2 linked regions of the Lonchura striata genome follow. The protein of the gene in region 1 purifies or fractionates together with the protein of each later gene. This does not show direct contact. Links are inferred from orthologs where the notes say so. Each region holds a gene or a part of one and is shown in the gene's direction. Other genes may lie near its edges. The genes, in order: FAM98A and NUFIP2.

Region 1 (10,738 bases):
CACATCCAGCAAAAGCACCCAAGTGGCTGATTGTTTGAGTCATTGTCCATTAACTGTTCCAGCCTAACAGCTTGACAAATTCCTTCCAGACTAGCTGTTACTGAAGGTTTTTGATGCAGAGGGGAGAGAAACAATTAAAAGGGTCTAAGATTTGGGATTATAACAGTCAAATCCACCAGATGCTCCAGCAAGTGGGATTTTAGGATGAACATATTTTCCTGTAAGAAGTCTTTGCCTCTTTGTCTCTTGTTACTTTGCACAGGAGATAAGAAAATGTTATCTTGAATTTCCAGACTTCTGGAAACCTGTTCTGAGAAGGTGAGTGCAGATTTGTATGACTGGAATGGTATCCTTTGCTCCTCTCTTTGGAGGGCACATTCTTTTTCTTATTATTAATGTGACTAATTGCGGTGGTGTGTTTTTCTTTCATTTAATATTTGTTTAATATCTGTTTCCCCCCCCAACCCCCCAATCTCCTCCTCTCCCCAGTGTCAGTCTTCCCTAGCTCTCCCCTAACCCCCCCCTCATCTCCAAGTGGTCAATCCTCCCTTTCCCTGCCCCTTTCCCTGGAACCTTCCCTGTCATGTTAGTTCTGCCCTAAACTCCTCCCCTGCTATTCCCTTAGTGGTTACTGTTCCTACACCCCTCCTCCTGAGTTCTGTATAAAACCTCTGCTCCCGCCCCCGAGGGGGTCTTGGGGCTCAGTGAATAAAACCATCCTGTTCACCCCCCAAGTCCCGTGTCGCCTTTGTCTGTCCCCGCGCGCCACGAACTGAACTGCAGAGCTTGCAGGGGAAAGCGGCTGCCCGTTCTCTTCCCTCACCGCCCAGCACGGCACGGCTCGGAGTGCCGCGGCGAGGAGCGCATACCGCGCTACAACATATGGTAGCAGAGGATCATGCCGCGCCACAACAACTAATCAGTGAGACTTTCTCTATATTCTTACTGGTTAAACCTGCTGGTCATGGGTATGGCTCTAATTTAAGTTCTTTTGCCACCATCCAAGAAGACTGTATGTGTGGATTCCTTTCTCGATTAAATAGAGTTATTTTAAAAACAAACATTAAACTTTTTGAAATTATACTGATTGCTGAGTGTTTGTTTAAAAATTATTCTCTAAAGAGGATTTTAAAAGTGCAGGCTTCTACAAGATGTTAATAGTGGCACTGGATTCTGAAGCTTCTTGATTCATAGGTTTTTTGTATCACTTGGAAAAGCTGCTTAAAATAGAGGAAAAGGCTTTTTAAAGTTCCTGTCTCTATACTTAATTTGGAATATTGCAGCTATTTTTGAACTCAGCTACCCTGTTAAATTATTCATGCAAACTTCTTTGTCATGTTTTCACAAAAGTTCCTTGTTAACTCTTGTCACAAGTATTTCATCTCAAGGGAAGTGGTGTTGTGTTTCACCAACAAAAGTATCCTGACAGCAGCTGCCAGGCATGTAAAAGAATAAAGACAGTCCATGCTTATTTTTTTTCCCCAAAGATTTATTATAACTGTTGATTATTCTCAAAAATAATGTGTGAGAGATGGCTTTACAGTGTGTAGACTCATCCTGCTTTATATATGACTAAAACCCCACAAACTAGCTTGTTGCAGCTACTCAGGGAAGAACATTTTAGAAATTCTTATTTTTGCCACACAGACTTCACACAGTCAAGTCATACCCATCAGTATAAACCTAAGTATTGAATTGTCATCTGTTGTGTTATAGATCCACTTTCTCCTTCATTGCTGCTGCAGAGGCTGACTGGTAAACTGATTACCATAGCACTGACATCTTTTGGCCAACGGAGGTGTAATGCAGAGGTGGATTCAAACAGCCTGCCTAGAAGGGATTACCAATACTTTAATCATAATTAAAGCATCACAGCAGCAGAGATCCAGCTGCTCCAGAAAATATTCGGGAACATGGTCTGTGAAAAAATTATTTGCTACACAAAGGCTGCATTTTATCCATGTTCTTTAGCAGAAATTACCTCCTGCCTGCAGTAGAAGTGTTGGTTGGAGTTGATAAACCTGGTAGCACAACAGAAGTGAAGCTGCCTGCATCTTTGTCTCGCCAGGTCTAGGCAGCATGAAGGCTGTGTGTGTACTCCCAGTAAGCACACAAACACGCTGATGTGTGTGCACATGGCCAGCCACACAGACAAACACATATAAAACTAGAAAACAGCACTTCTGCAAATGGAAACAGGACCAATGCCATAATCCTCTTCCCCTCTCTGGAATGAAGGTGTGCAGTGGAACATACAGAGAAGACATACAGCATGGGCCTTTTAGTAACAGGACAGATGCTCGTTTATCCAGTAGTCAGCCCTGGATCCTTGTTCCATCCAGCTGCAGATACCTGATCATGGCAAGACCTCAAGGCTCACTGCCCCAGTTAGTTTGCTGGCACCCACAGACTGCACATCCACTCAATATCCAGCCTTGGGCAGTTCCCCTGTTAGCTGGCCCTGGTACCCTCTGGTCTTTGATCCTCTCAGGCAGATCCTCTGGTCAGATCCTCTGATCCTCTCATGGCACAGCAGTAAGGACTGAAGAAAGTCCAGAGAGCTGAAAGTAGTCAAAAGCTGGGTGAGTAGTAGGGGAAGTGCCATTTGTCATTGTCCTGCTCTTGATCTTTCATGGTATCCAGCATGCTCTGAGCCAGAACTGACATTCCTTGATACCTGGCAAATCCAGCTGTATGTCTGACAGACAGTGGGCTTTTAGCTTCAGCACAGTGGCTGGATTCTGTTGCATCCAGACACTGAAGAAACTGCAGCATCCTGCAGAAATCAGTAAAAAAATCGGTTTTGATACAAAAGTGCTTAGCAGCACTTTACCACTCTGCATCTGGTAACACTCATGTGTGTTTCATGCTATTCTGTAAGTACAGATTTCATATTTAATGTCTCTGTCATGGGATTTTTGACAGCCACAGAGCCAACCTGAGGTGGGGTGGTGTAAACCCTGTGAAAATAAATTGTCTGTAATGAAATAAACCCTGCCTTAAAGTTGTTGGTTTTGGCTAGCTTTCCTGTGGAAGTGAGGTTTGAACCATCAGGGTGTGTCTTCAGTGACCTGGGCAAATTCAACAAGCCTCCTCTACACTGGTGACAGGTTCTTTTGGTGCAAAGCTGAAGGAGGGGCTACAGCCTTACTTTATTACTTGTGAGAGAATATGCACAGGAGGAAGTAGTTTATCTTCAGTCAGAGCTCACAGCATCTCAAACATCAAAACAAATCAATCACAAAAGGCAAGTACACAGGAAACCAATTGTCTTTGTTTAATGACAACTGGCATCCAAGCAGTGGAGCACCTCATACCTCTCAGAATAAATATATTTGGGTTGCAGAGCTTCAGGGCATGCATGAACTGCCTTTTCCTTAACCTGTATGTAGCAGCCTGGAAGCACCTGACCAATATCCACCACATCATCCCCATCCCTCCAGGGCTAAAGGGGCCAGGAGGGGTTTAGAGGGGTTCCATGAAGAGGACAGCTGCAGTCTGGGCTGGTTTTCTTCTTCCCATAGGAGAAATCAGTACTACATGGCTTTTCCAGTGGTGACATAGTGCAGGGAGCCATGGATGGCTCCAGCCAGGGCATTGCGGTCAAGCTGCCTGAGGGACATTGGATTCCCAGTCCTGCAGCTCTCTGTGAGTCAGGGTGGGGAGGGAAGTAGATGTAACAAGCCTACCCCAGGGAGAGAACAAACCCAAGGAGAGTTGAGCTCAGTTCTGCAGGTTGACAAGTTTGCAGAGCCTTGTGTAGCTTAGGGAAATCTACCCCAGTTACAGCTCTTCCCTGAGCCAATAGCCAGAGTGGCTGCTGCTTTCAGAAGTAACCTGTCTGCAGAGCTCTGGATCTCATTGTGCAACAGCAAACTTCTCAGGACAATATTATTTTGTTCAAGAAGTACTCAAAAACTGTCCAATTGCAAAATTAATTTCTTCTAGGGGGTCAGGATGCTGCACAGTGGCCATTCACACCTCCCATGCCTCCAAAATTTGTGTGGTGAAAACCCTAGGCTGGTAGGAAAAGAAAAAGTCATGACTGATAAGAGACAATGACAAAACAAAACTCTCATCCCCGTCCCCAGGAGAAAATTGTAGCTGCCTGCTCCAAGCTAGCATCACACCTCCAACTGTTCTTCTCCCCAGCCACAAGATCCTTCTGTTTTTCAAGAAACTGCTGGTCCTCACAGCACAGAAGGGATGTTAAAGCAGTCATGGAACTGAGTGATACAGACTGGAGGAGATGCCTACCAGACTGTCCCTACCCTGCAGTGTTGGCACAACTGAACCTGAGAGAAATACTTTTATTTGTTTCAGAAGGCAGATGTCATCAGCTGGGTGCCAAGATGAATATGACCCTTCTGTGCCAATGCTCATCTGAGCAGTAAATGTAAGATGACAGTAAATGTCCTCCTGAAATTAGCACAAAATCCTCGTATCTCAACATGTGCAGATTCAGGAGTGGACACAGGAACAGTGTCAATGTGACAAAATTAATTACTTCATGTACTGCTTGCTCCTATGAATGCTTTTAAACCCTATATTTAGGGCAAGAAAAAAGAAGGTTCAGAAATAAGGGGTAAACATTATCATGACAACAAGCAGCAGAGCAGAGTCCACACTCTGTGGACATACTACCCAGCTTTGTACACTTCCACCTGTGCAAGCAAGGTGAATCCAACCATTACATAAAAATAAAAAAAAAACAAAAGCAAAACAACAAAACAAAAACCAAACAGAACCCGCCAAGTCGACCAAACAAGCAAAAGGTCATAGCTTTCAGGAGCAGTGTTGAATTAGTGAGGAAAATCCTAATTGCCCAGATCTCCAGTTTAGGCTACCCACCCTGCCAAGGCTCCCAAGCACAACACCTGAGATACTTTGGATCAAAAATGAATGGACAAAGGGAAAATCAGTTAATTCTCAGAGCTCAGCAGTGATAAGGCAGCTTGCCAGAAGCCTTTATCTCTTTTATTTTTAAAAAATCAGAGTGGGCTGCGGCCACACTATACTAACCACTATACAACTAAAAGCAAATACACAAAGCAGAATGCCTGTATTATTCATCTGACATTAAGATTTTAGTCTTTAGGAGGCAATTTTCCTACAAATGTGTAAATTGACATGTCTTTAGTAATATAACTGGTGACTACAATGCCTATTCTTTATCTTCCTACCTATCTTGAGGCTACAAGATCCTTCATATTTTGACTGCAGCTTTTCTTCACCGTGCCTGCCAAGGGCAGTTTCATGAAGAACAGGAGTCGGTCCTGCAGCACCAGCTCGCTACTGGTGACAGACTGGCATAATTTTTGGCACGAATGGTTTTGGCTTTTCCCAGCGTGGTGTAGCCATCCCAACATAACCTCTCACCGTGCCTCCCTTCCAGCACTGACGTGCTTTCTGTGGGATTGCTGCGTGCCCGGCATCGATTTATTAATTTTATGAATTTTATTAATTTTATTCGGCGCCAGCCGCCTCCCGCCCTGTCGTGCGCAAGGCATGCCGGGATTTGTGGTCCCGGCCGTAGCTCGGGGTCCTGAAAGGGGGGGACGGACTCTCGTTCCCTGGCACGATTTGACCCTTCTGCCGCCCCGTCCTATCCCCCTGCCCCCGCCCGTTGCCGCGACGCCGCTCGCCGCAGCACATTCCTGCGCGGGCTGCGCTTCCGGGTCTGCCCTACCGGCGCCTGAACACAAAAGTGAGATCCTCGGCTCGTCCCGGGCTCCTTTCCCGCAAGAACGGCCTGTTATCCGGCCTCGCATCCGCGTCCCAGTTTAGCAATGGTGTTCCGCTCGGCGGATAGGCGGACACCGCCGCGGACGGGGGCGGCGCCGATCAGGCAGCGGGGCTGGCGGCCCTAGAGCAGCCGGATGAAGAGGGAGGCCGGGGGCCTTCGGCGCGGCTCTCCCCGCCCTGAGATGCCAGCCCGGCAGTTGGCGGCGCAGCTGCGAGCGTGGTGCGTGCGGCCGGGCGGGACAGCGGGCTGGGGCGGCCCGGGACAGGGGCCGTGGCGCCGGGAGCTCTCCCTCGCCGCGGGGCAGGGGGTGAGACTTGAGTCTCCACCACGAGGCCGGGATGGGCTGGAGAAGGGGGAACGGCGGGCGGTGGGAGTGCGAGAACTGGTAGCGCTGAGTCCCGCTGTCGCGCAGGTCCAGCTGTCGTGCCCCGCCGCAGGATGGAGTTCGAGTTCCTGGAGAACGATGTGCTGGAGTCGCTGGAGGACCTAGGGTACGTGTCCGAGGCTGGGGGCGCGGGGCGGCCCCGGCAGGGACACGGCGACGCTTTCCGCCCCGCACGGGCGGGGCCGCTGCCGCTCCGGAGGGCCGCGGCTCGGGGCAGTGCATGGAATGGTCCTTTTGGTCACAGCCGGCCTCAGGGCCGGGCTGCTGCTGATGCCCCAAGCCAGACGCGCAGGCTTGTAGCTGCATGGCCTTGGCGAGTCTCTCGCTTCTCCGTGCGAGCTGATCCCCTCGATTCTTGGATGCCATCTGGTCTGTTGCTGCTCTGTTCTGCACAGCGGCCCTAGCTGAGGGTGGGGTGGGATAAAGAGATACGTTAGACAATAAAAAAGCCTTCAGGCTTAGTATTTTTTGGCGGGGAGGGCGGAGAAAGAGTAAAAAGCATTGCAAATAAGCAAGTGTTTTTCTTCTTAACATATTTTAAAGGGTACTATAGTACAGGAAACTTCTGCTGTGTAAACCTGTTACTTTGTCAGAGTCAGGAAAGGCTGCATAAAAAAAGAAAAGCATGAAAGGAAGAGCGTGGAGAACATGTCCTGCTGTAAGCTCCCAAGTCTGTAACCTGCTAAGAGTTCAGAAGACAGGCAGCTACAATTTCACTCTACTGCCGGTTCCATGCAAACAGCTGTATTTACTCACATTGGCCCCATTCCCATAAATCACTTTGTGACTAGAGTCATTATGCTCCAACAAAGATTGTATTTTCAGGTTACATTAGTGGTGATAGTTGCAATGCTTGACAAATAGATTTCTGTTTTAGCAGGTATTTCTCTGACTGAAATGTGAAAAGGCATCTCTTTCACAATGAAAATACTGTGATTGGCTTATTTTTTTGTGTTTAAAAGGACACTAGTGGCTTGAAGGTGATTTGTGCTTCTGATCTGTGCAGTTATAGACAGAAAGTGTTGTTGATTTTTGACGTAAATGCGTAAAGCGAACAGTGAAAGTAGATGAACAAATAAATTATATGAAGCAAAATTGACAACAGTAAAAAAAAGAAAATTTTGAGCATGAAAGACATAAGACCCCAGCAATATTGGGAACAACTGGGAAAACTATTGCACGTGTCTAAAGGACTTCTGATTTTTGGTGTCTGGAAAGACGGGTGTTTGAGGCTTTATGTTTTGGCAGTAGCTCCATGGTCTTCATGGTTCATCTTATTTTTTCTCATCAGATACTGAAGATATTCCTAATATATCACTTGATTTTTTTTTCTTATATCAGTACATGTTAGAGAGCTGTTTCTTTTTCTAGTTGTGCTCGAGGTGTTCAGATGGTGGCCTCTTGTCTTGTACATCAGCTTGTTGAACTGTTGAAAGAGCAAACAGATGGGATAGCACGAAGTTACCAAAAGAGAGCATAGCTCTGGAACACATGTCATTGGCAGCAACAGAAGGAAAAAGCTGCTTGCAATTAGGAATCTGCAAGTTGGATTATTGGCCAGATTGATGTGTAGCTGAAGTCATAATTATAAGAAATTACACACTCAAGACATTACCTCTGTTAAAAAAACTTTCTAGAAAAGGTGCCTCTAGAAGATCTGAGCAGGGACTTAAATCCCAATCCTGCCAAAGCAAAAGGCTTTCCATTGCTTCCTTGCTACTTTGACCTGTAACTGGCTGCTTCTATTTTGAGTCCCAGATGTTCCTAGACCTACACATGTAGAGATGGGATGGGACTGAAACTTGCTCTGATTAGCTTCTTGAAGTGTCCAGCCTGCTGTGGTCATGCAGTAGGGTTGTAATACATGAGATTACAGCTTCTGTCCAGCTGCCAGTAGATTAACTGTGTCACCAATCAAGCTGCTCTGTGAGGTAAAAGTTATTTTTGAGCGTGGCTTCTTTATTTTACTTGGCTGAAGTAACAGGCCACTACAGTGAAGGCCAAATCCTTTGTATGTCGTATTAAGCACAGGAGCAGAGTGAGGAGAATTTCATTTCAATTTGAGATGTTCTTTTATTGCCGAGGTTTGCCAAGAGTTGCCTGGACTTGTTGGATTGTTGTGAGGTAGTGGATGACTTTACCCAGAAGTTCCCAAGAGAGATTTCGTTTAGTTATGAGCACTCTTGGATGTCTTTGTCTTTTGGGGGCAGTATATCAAAATTATATTGTACGTGTTTTTTCTAAAATACTGAAGTAAACTCTGACTTGTGCTTCTACCTGGTTAATAAGGCAGCCTTGTCTCTACTCTTCATTCTCCCCCTGAGAGATGGTCAGTACACAGATGTTCTGAAAACTCAGTTTTCTAAGATCTGATCTGTAAACACATGCTTTCTTTCGGTAGGTCTGATTTTTGGCTTATTTTGCTTATGCAAAGAACCAATTCCATTAATTTTTCTTGTGTATATTTAGGGAGGTTGGTTTTTCAAGAGATGATATTGTTATGCAGATCACTTTTGTAATATTTCTATCAAAGGCTTTGTTTTGTAAGGCAGCCCTTTCATATGTGATAGGAAATGACAGTAAAGATGCACTTGTTCAGCAGTAATTATTTAACATACTGTAAAGCAGTATGTAGAGCTCAGGAAGGATTCTTTGAGACTGCAGTTGCCCTGGATAGGTCTGTTGTCTGTAACATGTTCAGGAGGTGGCAGCAGTGAAGTTGCCACTATACATGGTAATATTGTGGAGGAAACTTTTGACAATGCAATTTTGTGACAGTTTTTGTGATGGTAAGTTAATGTGCACACAAATTCTGAGTTTACTCTGATGTTTTCCATGTGGTTCTTGATACAGTTCAGTCCAGGAATCACCATTCCATGACATCAGCACTTCAGATGTCTTGTGATTGTATTTCTAAATATGTATACAGCATAAAATAAATCTGTCAAAGGACATTGGTCACAGCAAACATTAATAAACCGTGCTTTTGTTTTATTTCTCAGTTACAAAGGTCCACTGTTAGTTGACGGAGCACTGGCTCAGGCAGTCTCCCATGGAGCCAGTTCCCCTGAATTCACCAAACTCTGCGCTTGGTTGGTATCGGAGTTACGGCTCTTCTGTAAACTAGAGGAGAATGTGCAAGCAACCAACAGTAAGTAGTCATAACTCCAGCACAAACATGCACTTAATTTGTGTTCTTGCATGCCACAGAGATTAGGGCTGGCCTGTGTATTGTACCATGGAGTGTTGTCTTCACGCTGCCAGATTTTGGGTATTTTCCACCTCAAATTTGCTGAATGAACAGCCAGTAGAAGTTGAAATTATAGTGGTGATCAGTCTTCTGAAATTAGATTTTTCTGTTAATTTTTCAAGCATATTATTTTTTTAAAGTTCTTAGATGGATTTAGGGAAACATTAATACTAGTGGGGTTTTTACTAGATCATAAAATATTTTTGTTTCAATGCTTCTGTTTTTGGTAGAGGAAGCAAACTGTAGCTTTCAGGAAAAAAAGTTAATTTTGGTCAACTAGTCATGACAATCTACAGATTAAATTATCAAATTGGTGTAATAACCCATATTCCTGAGTATCTAATATATTAACTCATAATGCTTTCGTGAGCTAAGCTTTGTATTTACTCAGTGGCCAAAGGTTGCTGCCTTTTAGCTCAGCATCTGTTACTTTCCTTTCTCTCTGTTTTTGACATATTCATTCATTCTTCTTTGAGTGTGTTTCATATTCTTTCTGTGTGACAATACAGTATCTCACCCCTTCTAGTCGTAAAAGGTTCCTATTCTTTGTTTTGTGTAAAAATACAATCCAGAAATCTTCCAACACCTATCTCAAATTCTTTAAACACCGTGACAGAAACATGTTAGCTGGAGTACCATCAAGTCCTACCTACCTTCATTTTGTATGTCTTAAGTTTAGGAATAGCAGAAATTTGGGGTTGAAGTCTCCTTCCAAAAGATCAAAAAATGCTATTTCTCATCACTTTTTTTTTACCTAACAAATTCTTTCTTATCACTGTTTTTTTTTTTTTACCTAATAAATTCTGATTAATGTCAGTAATCTTGACTGAATAAATTCTGAGTAATGTCAGTATTGTTGACAGAAATATCGGTCTAAGGTTTGGTTTATGTGACTTCCTTATTTTTACTGGATATTGATATGAAATAAAATCGGTTGACAAATGAGAGCTTACAGGGAGAAGTAATAGAAAAAAAGTGAGAACTCATAAGCCATATTTATTATTCATGATAGTTTTTAATGTCCCCTTTCTTTGTAGAAGTTGCCAGTGCCTGTCTGTTGTAGCTTGGAAAAGCAGTCAGTGAAACGTAATTTTATATTAATGGAGCATATAGTGGGTTCAGATAGGTTGTGCTGTGTCTTGAAGAAATTTTATATTAATGGAGCATATAATGGGTTCAGATAGGTTGTGCTGTGTCAAGAAATGCGCTTGGCCTCCATTAAAAATGGGTCTTAATCTTAAATAGCAACTTGAGCAAAATACATATTTTTAAATAGCTAATTTATTCTAATCATACCCCCTATATATTAGCAATGGATGAATTTTTATTTATTTTTTTCTAAGGTCCAAATGAAGCA
Region 2 (10,110 bases), on another chromosome or scaffold:
CCAGATTCCAAGATAAGGAAGTAGGGCTAAGTACAGGCAAGGGTTAGCCTTTGACTCCTGCAGTGTCCTCACTTAGTAACAAAAATACCTGTATTGTGTAAAATAGAACACAGATCCAGTAAGCTGAGCATGCAGGAACTCCTCTGTGGAATCTGGATTTTAACAGGCATCTGCTGCACAGTGCCCATTGCTTGCCCTGCCAGCCAGTCTGTTTTCCTCCCCAACTAGAGCTATCAGCTGTCTCATATGTACTCAGACCATGAGTTCTCCAGAGGAGATGGGTTTTCAAAAGTAAGTTCTTCACCCTGCTTCTATTTGAGTTCCCCAGGCCCTGGATATCTGCAGAAATAGCCTCTTAAATCCCAAGAGGTATAAGCTCACTTGTGCTCCAAAGAATAGTAATCCTAACAAAATCTCTATTTTAGATGTCAAATATTTACTTTTAGCTGAATTATGCCCATTCATTGGAAAACTAATAATACTTTGCTCTTCACAATGTAGCTTATCAGTGAATCCTGATATATATTTTATGCAAAACATTAAAAGGTTGTTGCTTATCTTTTAATTTACCTTTTTTCCCCCTTCATGTTCCTGCATTCCTATGTTTTGAGATAAGGTGAACAAAAGTTCTCCAGCTGCTATCTCTAAGCTATGCATTCTGCAATACCTTCACTGTGTTCTTTCTGATTCACTCCCTCTGAGGTGAATGGTCCCAGTCTTTAAATTTCCTTCAGACAAGGGCTCTTCCCAATCCCTAATCTTGTAGTCAACCATCATTACCCTGTGTCACATAATGAAGCAGCAGTCACAGTAATAACTCAAACAATAACTGCTCCAGATCTGGTGTTCTGTCAGTGCTGAGCATTGTTAAATTGGAGATCCTGGGTGCAAACACAAGCAGAGGAGTCCCCATATACCAAATGCAGACATAGCCAACCCACATTTAAAAACTATTTTTTTTTAATTTCCTGTTTCAAAATAACTGTTTGGTGTCCAAATGGAATGAGAATGAAATGTGACTAGCAGCCTTGTGACTGTTGTGTTGTATAACAAGATAAAAAGTGCTTGGGATTTGTGGATTGAGCTTTTTTTCATTTGTCTTCCAGAGGTCAAAGTCCACTGCAAGCAGTGACCGATACAATTCCCTGTGTAAGTCAGGCTGGACTGCCTGTGCCTCAGGTTCTAACAGCAGGGGAGTTTGTGCAAGAGCACCTTGGTAGGTATTTGTCTGGATTTCTCTGTGGTCCCTGTGATGATCCTAGGAAGCAGGAGGAGATCCAGAATTGTCTGAGAGCCAGGATTCTCTGAAATCCCAGAGAAGTAATGATAAGAGTTGTGGCTGAGGCCAGCCTGCTAGCCTGCTTCCCATTCTGCTTCTTGTATGTGTCCAAGAAGCTGTCTCCAGTTTATACTGTTGCACTCTAGTAAACAATTTTGCATGCAGATATGGGCAGCAGATGTTACTCATGCCTGTGTGAACACTTCAGTGTTTTTACAACAGGGATGATCCTTGGATTGAGTCTTGTTAAACAATGGATGAACCCACCAGAAGTCCCACTGGTTACAGCCATTCTGTTACAGCTTGCTCAAAACACTTTGAAGGATGGTCACGCCATCCTTCTTTGGCCACTCAAGGGGATTGACTCACAAATACGAGCAAAATAAAATTAGATGGCTTAAGTGGCTGCAACCCCAGCTGTGTCCCCGCTGCCCAATTCCCAGAAGGTCATCCCTGCAGCCAGGCTGGCTGTGGAAGGCAACTCCTGAGCTGCTGTAGTGACAGCCCATTCTTCAGGGTGTTAAAATTTGTCTGGCTCCTCTGTGAAACAGTTTAGGAAGCTTAACCAGAATAAAAATGTGCACTTTTCCATCTGAAGAATTACTTTTTAGTTTAATTTCTCAAATGGGCTCTGAGAAGCAGCAGCGTTGCTGTGAGGGCAGGGCAGGGAGAGATGACCTTCCCTTTTGGGAGCAGCCATTACGTCAGTTTTGCTGCCTCACAAAACTATACCCTATGGTTATTTTTGGTGCTGGATTGCCTTAATTTTCTGGAGAGTGAATGAAGGATTAGCATAGTGTGCTTATGACATTTGGAAACTAAGCTTTTAGGAAAAAAATCATAATTCAGCATGTGCTGAGGTGGAAATGCTTAAATTGCTAAGGAAGGGAAGGATGAGTAAAATGTGAATTTTTTACAATTTTTACAATTCAGCTAGGAGGTTAAATCCTTTTATAATTTTTTGGGTTTTGCTGCTTTTTAAGACCTCTAACCCAATGCCTACTATCCAGCTGCCTCTAGAGAGAGAAGTCTTTAAAGAGACCAGCTTTGTACCTATAAATAATGTACACAGCAGAGTACAAAAATGGAGTCAAGGAGAAGCTCCTCCTTACCTGAATGTAACTGCAGCAGCTCTGTGAGAATAGCTGTGGTCAGGCTGTGAGCAGCTCTCCTACCCTGTCATCCATCTTGACTAAACTGCTTCTGAGAACTAATTCTGAGATTCCAACACTTGAATATCAACTGGTAAATCCCAACTGCCTTGTACTGAAACACATTATTTGCCAGCAGCCAAACGTGGCAAGGTTTTAAACAGTGTGGTTGTAATCCTGCTTGGAACTAAAGGTCTGCTGGAGTGCTTTAAGTTGGATGTGTTGGAATATGGAGAATTTTGCAAGTCTGAACCCCTGCTATAAATGAAAACACTGTGGCAAAAAATGTAAATAAATGCCACACATACTTTGTGTAAGAGCCCATCCCAATATCTATAAATATGGTAATTTTGGTGTTTCCCAATTCTGAGTTTTAAACAGGAGACAGACACATGAAATACTACAAAGCAAGCATTTTATTTTTTTCATGGATTAATTTTATAATTTCAGTTCTAATTTACCTGAAAATAATTAATGGGAACTAAATGTAGTTTTTAAAAGAGGTTTGCCTTTGAAAGGAAATAAATTGTTCTTGAAAAAATAACTTCAATAGCTTCTCAGTTTAACTGCATTTTAATATGAACACAAAATTTATCCCGGGTCAGACTCTGCAGGAAAACTTTCTCATGATTCTTGTAGCAGTTGATTCATTCCTTGCTGCCTTAATTTTCCAGCTTTAAATGGCAGGTTCTCTGCAAAGCCATCCACTTCAAAGCTTCATAAAACAGAGCTTTGAATAAATTACTGAGTTAGAAATTATACTGGCTGTGCCCAGCTTTGTGCCTGGATGTGGGAATACTTGGCACTGGGTGTGGAATTCCAAGGAAAATTGCCTCTTTGCTGGCTTGCCAAAGAGCAGTAAGAAGGAAAACTGCTGCAAATGAGCAGACACGGAAATCTCCAGCTTCCCTTTCCAGAGAACACATCCTGAAGAACTGTTGAATATTAATACACATTACAACTGGTGCAACAATGGGCAAACACTGGGATTAACAGAAACTACTGCTTCTGGAGGGGATGTGTCCCAGCATGGCCACAGGGCAACACTGCCTGCTGGAACTGCTCTTACCTTTAAAATGCATCCTTGTGGAATCAGTGGAAGTGGGGCAGGCCCACTGTGTGTGGACACACCATGTTGGGGTGCCAGGTGATGAACCCCAGGCTGTATTATTTTGGATTATTTTTCTCTCTTCTGCAAGCTTTAGATAATATAATACTGATAACATGATACTTCTAAGCAGTGACATAGTAGCTTTGTCTTTCACAAAGAGACAGCCCACCTTCCTCTGTATTCAGATTTCTGGTCTGTGTGTGTGGAGATGATTTGTCCATAATTGTTTGCTTTCCTCAGAGTCTTTTGAAGTTTAAATCTTCAAGCCAGCTCCCTATATTAAAAATAAATTCTTCCAAGCCACCAATAAAATGTCATCTGTGATTAAAGCCTGACTCCTCATTTTAAGACTTGTCTCTTAAGCACTCTGAGGTCACTGAATGAGTCAGCGTTTGAAAGGACCAGGACCGTTATTGTTTGAGTAAAGCCCAAAGTTCATCATTGCTTGCTTAAATAGTTTCATCAGTTTTAAATGGCTTTGCATTGTGCTGAAAGAAATGTAAACTGCAGGAATGATTTGGCAGAGAGCTTGTGATATTTCAGGCACCTCAAATCTTGAAAAAACCCTCTGTATTAATGTTGAAGTTGGTATTTCTGGTAAGGAAAAGCTTTACCTCCTATGTAGTAAAGAGGAGCGTGAAGTGGGAAGTTCTGTTTGAGGCATAAACTTTCAACTGTGTTCTCTTAAAATAAGGCTTGGGAACTGTAAAATCTCCAGACGAGGGCTCTTGTACAGTGCCAAAGTCTGACAGGGCTTTTCTAGACACATGAACTTTATTAATTTTGCTCATTAGAATAGTGAAAAAATAGAACAGAGCATTAAGCTGCAAGGAAAAGACTTGAGAAGCGAGTCCATACTATTTTCAGGACTATTTGTGGAGCCCATTTATATTACACACATTAATTGTGACAGTCTTTAATTACATGAACACATTTTATTTTGTCACTTTTCCTCCCTGTTTGCTGCAGTGCACACTATTGGGACTATTTGGGGGCCATTAATCACACCAGAGTAGCAAATAACTTGGAGCAGGACTCCGCCTCTGTCTCCAGCCCGTGTCAGTTGTGGGTCTCTCCATTCCCTCTGCCCTTTTCCTACATTCCTAATTAACTCCTGTCTCAGTTCCTCACTGATCCATACAACCCAAACCCCTTTGTCTCAGTGGTATCTGGAGAATTGGGCCTTGGTGTTGAGGAGGAATCCGGGAACAGCATTTGAATGTCTTGCTCTCCCTGCAGTGGAGGCTGGCTGGAGCAGAGGTGGGAGTTCAGGTCATTTAGCTGTCATCACCCCCTGCCGAACATGCTCAAGTGAGGATAATCAGAGATTGAAATGGTATGAAATCTGTTGCAAATTCTGTCAAGTTTCAAGAGTTCTCCTCCTTACACTCTCGGGCTTCCCCATCAACCTTTGATTTTTGTTAAGCATCAGTTAAATCTCCGGTGCTTCCCTCGGAGCTGGACAGGCGCATTTGTTGAGCCCACCTTTCTCGGGCTGGCCGGGTGCTGGGCACGGCCGGTGGTGGGTCCGTGCGGGGAGCGGCGGGTCCGCCCGCTTGGCTGCGGGTGGAGCCCTGGAGCCGGGTGAGCTCCGGCTGCCGCGGGAGCGCTGCAGCTCGGCCCGGCAGCGATTCGGGGCGCTGCTGCTGCCGGGCTCCGCGCTTCCCGCGGCTGCTGCTGGGAGCCCGGCTGCTCACGGTGTTCACATCCCTGCCCAGCTCCCCTCCGCTGGGGCTGTTCCAGCCCTCTCCGCCTGCCCCGGGTGGGGGGTTCACCCGCTTCATGACGGCAAAACGCGGCTTGGCGGCATCCCGGGCCGCCGTCCTGCCGGTGACCCTGCGGTGAAACCCCCCCGGGGCCGCACGCCGCTCCCCTCCGCTCCAACGGCGAGGACCGGGGACGGCGGCGACCCCGCCGCGGCCGCTCACTCTGGCTCCGCCGCGCTAGCACGGGGAGGGGGCGAAGCGCGCCCGCCCCCGGCAGCCTCACCTGCCGCCGGCCCGGGGAGGGGGCGGCCGGGCGGGCCCGCGCTGGCCGGGCCGGCTCTCCCCCGGCCGCGGTGCGGCGGGGCGGGGCGGGGGGCGGGCGCGGCGGCGCCGCTCGCTGATTGCAGGGCGGGCGCTGCCAGTCCGCCGCCTCCCCCGCGCCAGCCGCGTCCCCGCGCCGGAGCCGCACGGCCCAGCAGCGAGCGCCCAGCCCGGCCCGGCCCCGCCAGCCGCCCCCCATGGAGGAGCAGCCCCACCACCACCATCACCACCACCACTATTACTACTACGGGCACCACCACCACCACCCGCAGAGCGCCTACCTGCCGCCGCCCGACGGCCGAGCCCAGCCTAAGCCGCCGCTCCGCCACGAGCACAAGCACGGCGGCCCGCAGCACACGGAGGCGCCGAAGCGGAGACCAGGTTGGAGCGGGCAGCGGGACGGGGCCCGTGACCTTCGCGGGGCGGCGGCGGGGGCCCCCTCTCCTCCTCCTCCTCCGCCGCCGCCTCCCCCGGCCCGGCTCGAAGCTTCTCCGCCGCGCTGGGGCCGCTTCCTGTCCGCCATGTTGGGGCTGCGGAGCCGCGGGCCCGCCGGCACCGCCGCCCGCCGGCACGTGGGGCCGGGCCGCGCCGCCGCCGCCGGCCGGGCCCGGGGCCGCGGGGGCGGCCGGGCGATGGGGGAGCGCCGGGATCGATCCGTCAGAGCCGGCGGCGCGGCCCGGCCCGGCGCCGCCGGCGGGAGGCGGCGCGGCCCTGCCCGGCCCGGGCGCTCGGCCGCCTCCTCCCCGCCGGGCCGGGGCTGCGGCCCCCGGGCCGTGCCGGGCCGCCGCAGAGGCGGTGTCCGGTTAGCGGCGCGGGGGGAGCCGGTCCCTGGCAGGGCCGAGCCCCCGCCGCGTTCCTGCGGGCTCCCCGGCTCCAGCAGTCCCTCTGGGGGGGTTTGTGCGGGGTCAAGGCGAGTGCGTGGCCACCAGCCGGCCGGAGTGCCGCGTACAATTTTTTTTTTTTTTATTTCCCTTGAATTTTTCTTTTACATAACGAGGCGGGAGGTGGGAGGGGGCCTGGTAGCAGCGGAGCGGGGTCAGCAGTGCCCCATGTGCAGCCTGGGCAGGCAGGGAGGGACCTGATGGGGCACACGCCAAAATAAGTTACCGAGCAAAAATAAGTTGAGAAGTCATTTCACTGTTTGCAGCGTGCCCAGGGTTTTAATATGTGCCTAGGCTGGCACCCCTCCCTTTCCAGCTCTGAAACGGTTTGTGAGCTTGCCAGATCCTCTTCACCTGTTCTTCTTACCATCCTGGATTTTTTCCTCTCCCCTGAATTTTGGTTGCTGCACCTCCGTGTCCAGGCCAAGGCCAGCTGTGCCAAATGTTGATTTGGAGAAAACTCAGGCAGCTGAGCTGTGAATGCTTGAGAATTGGAACTAGAAACTGCTGACACACTGACTTAGTGAAATGGATTTTGTTCTTCATTTTATTCTTTCACTCCTCATCTGCAGTGGTCTTATGACCACTCTTTATTGTTTTGTTTCATTAACAAGTGGTGTCAGAAGTCTTGAGTCATACAAGGTCAGCTGTAACACTGTTCTTGAGAGGGCTTCCTCTTCATGCTATTCTGAAATACTAATTTTTTAGAGGATCCCGCCGTTCTAGTTCTCTCTGGGGCGAAGTATTTGCAGTTAATTTTCTTAACAACATATTTGAAAGTTATAGTGGAAGTTGTGGTGGTTACAGATACTTGCATGTAGTAAAATCCTTTTTGATCCCCCTCGGCAAACTCAGTTGTGGAATTTCTGTAAAGATTCCTACAAGGATTCTTGTGTTCCCGACTTGCACAGAACTTGAGCTGTTACATCTGCCAGACATCTGAGGCTCCAGGATGTGAGGGTAACAACGATTTTTAGTTACAGCAGTTAATTTCAACAACATCAGCAAACAACAAAAACATTCTTCTTCCAAGCTGGAGTTTTGCCCGCTCCAGTTGTTGAGGGACTCCCTCTCTGTGCTGACTCGGTGCCACCGTGGCTGCAGATGGAGCCTTAGGTGGGTCAGTGGTTGTGGGGGATGTGGATGTGAGGCTTTCCAGCCTCGGAAGGAGGAATGAGTCAGAGGAGCGGCGGGTGCAGGAGGAATCCCTCTGCAGCTGGAGTGTATTTGTCGAGCAGGGCACGGTGTGCTCTCCCTGTGTCCCACTGGGGCTCCAGGGCTTCCCTTGGGGTTTTAGCCAGGGTCCTCGAAAGCAGCAGGCCTCTGGCCAGAGATGCTTGAAAAGGAGAAAGCAAAGAGGAAGTTGGGGTGGTTCAGTGTGGACTGTCCTGGGCTTCCAGCTCTGCTTGAATTGCACTCTCCAGAACCATGAGGCCTGGAAGTGAACTTCAGAAGGGAAGAGTAAAGCTCAGTCTGCAGCACAATCTCATGGCTTTGTGAGTTGGAGCCCTCAGCAGGTGCTATATTTCTTGGGTCTCAGGCTCATACCAGCTCTCCTGGGGACTCTGAAATACAAGTTTTTTCAGTGGCCAAGAGATCCATTGGTGGTGGCAGCAGAAGGGCACTTGCAGGGATGCATTTCTTACTTCTGTCACTTTTCAGTGCCAAGGAACATGTGTAGGGAGGTGCTGGTCGCTATCTTAAAATGCAGGGAGGAGATGTGGCCACATTTTCTTTCCTCCATCTTCCAGCTGAACTTGCACGGGTCCTTTTGCAAATACTGTGCTTGTTTTTTTTTTCCCATCCCTTGACTGAGATGGCATTTGGGAGGAGGGTGGGAAGGAGGACTGCTGGTGTCGTGGGCCCAGGAGGTGATGGAGATGGTAGGAGTTGTCCCTTGTTCACAGTGTGTATCCTGAACCTCCACAGATCTTGTCAGAAAGGCAGTGGATCCCGCTGTCTTGAAGCATCCTGGGAATTAATTTTTTCCTCTCTCTGACCTGGAAATAGTAGCTGATGAAATAACTCTCCAGCTTGCCAGTGATTTTCAGTACAGTATATTTTTCTGGCATAGTATCTGTATTTTCTTTTGCTTTGTTATGTTATCTGTATGTCACTCAGTTATGCGAGAATCAGTCATGGCTGGTCCTTCTTTTTTAACCCTTCTTGCTGTGGGTTCCAGCAAATAAATTTATGCAGCTTTACCTCAGAGACTAGATATTTTCCTATTTTAAAATGTCTGCGTGAGGAAACTGGATATGTTTGGGGCTGACTACAGCTTTCTGCAATGACAAGTCTAACATTTCACATTCTAATTCTTGCCTTTTGCTGTTTTTGGCTTCCCTCTAGGCTACGGAGAGCTAAATGGTAACGCAGGAGAACGAGAAGTGTCACTAAAGGGCCTGTGCTCTGATGAAGCCACCGCCCCAGGATCCAGGGTACCCAATGGCAGCCAGCAGCTTGTAGATTCTAATGTCACCCCAAAGCAGACTGTGAAGGCCAGTGCTTTGGGGAAAGCTGGAATCAAAACCAAGAACTTCATTCAGAAAAATAGCATGGACAAAAAGAATGAAAAGTCCTATGAAAACAAACACAGAGAAAACCAGACCTCGGACAAGCCAGAGGGAGTGTCTATTCCAAACGGCGTGGTAACCAATAATTCCAGCTACATCACAAATGGCTACGTAGGCAAAGGGGCCGATAACGATGGTAGTGGCTCCGAGAGTGGATATACTACACCTAAAAAACGGAAAGGCAGGCGCAACAGTGCCAAGGGTTGTGAGAACTTGAATCTAGTACAGGACAAAATAATGCAGCAGGAGGTCAGCGCACCAGCCTTGAAACAGGAACTTGAGAGTTTCAAGCCTGATTATAGTGAACAAAAGGGGAACCGAATTGAAAATACGAAGCCTGTTTGGAAATATGAGGCTGGGGCTGGTGGAGCAGGCCGAGGAAAGCCTGGGCTCGGGGATGTACCGAGGAAAAACTCTGATGCCAAACCTGGGATTAGCAGCAAGAAGTTTGATGACCGGCCCAAAGGGAAGCATGCATCGTCGGCTACATCTAAAGAGGATTCATGGACCTTATTTAAACCACCCCCAGTTTTTCCAGTGGACAATAGCAGTGCTAAAATTGTTCCCAAAATTAGTTATGCAAGTAAAGTTAAAGAAAACCTCAACAAAGCAGCTCAGACCCCATCCACGTCATCCACATCATCCTCATCGTCTTCATCATCTGCTGGGGAAACTCAGGCCCAAACATCAAGTCGGCTGTCCCAAGTCCCCATGTCTGCTATGAAATCTGTCACTTCTGCCAGCTTCTCGAACGGGCCGATCCTCGCGGGGACCGATGGAAGTGTGTATTCCCCAGGGGCCCAGCCACTGCTCTCCACTGCTGCTAGTACTGTCCCATCGACCTCCTCCTCCGAGTCAGTACCCCAGGACATGAGTACAGCTTCGACAGCCCTCGAACAAAAGAAATCTGGCCTTTTTATCTACCCTTCAAATATGCAAACTGTGCTCCTGGGGACAGCGCAAGTCGATTTCCCTTCCCAGACGAATCAGCAGAACCTGGGGGATATCTTCCAGAATCAGTGGGGCTTGTCTTTCATAAACGAGCCCAGTGCTGGACCTGAAACCGTTGTGGGGAAATCTGCGGATAA

What was found.
Region 2: the proteins of FAM98A (region 1) and NUFIP2 purify together in Homo sapiens (co-immunoprecipitation; 3 studies listed by BioGRID and IntAct, with this or other methods). This does not show direct contact. The link is inferred for Lonchura striata from reciprocal best matches to the Homo sapiens genes FAM98A and NUFIP2.

Annotation. Positions count from the first base shown.
Region 1 is NC_134605.1:35,869,254-35,879,991, reverse strand, and holds the start of FAM98A (protein FAM98A), read left to right. Parts: upstream 1-5,887; 5' UTR 5,888-5,965; intron 5,966-6,158; 5' UTR 6,159-6,184; coding exon 6,185-6,237; intron 6,238-9,133; coding exon 9,134-9,282; intron 9,283-10,724; coding exon 10,725-10,738. UniProt on the Homo sapiens protein: Positively stimulates PRMT1-induced protein arginine methylation. Involved in skeletal homeostasis. Positively regulates lysosome peripheral distribution and ruffled border formation in osteoclasts.
Region 2 is NC_134622.1:7,664,797-7,674,906, reverse strand, and holds the start of NUFIP2 (FMR1-interacting protein NUFIP2), read left to right. Parts: upstream 1-5,688; 5' UTR 5,689-5,765; coding exon 5,766-5,949; intron 5,950-8,798; coding exon 8,799-10,110. UniProt on the Homo sapiens protein: Binds RNA.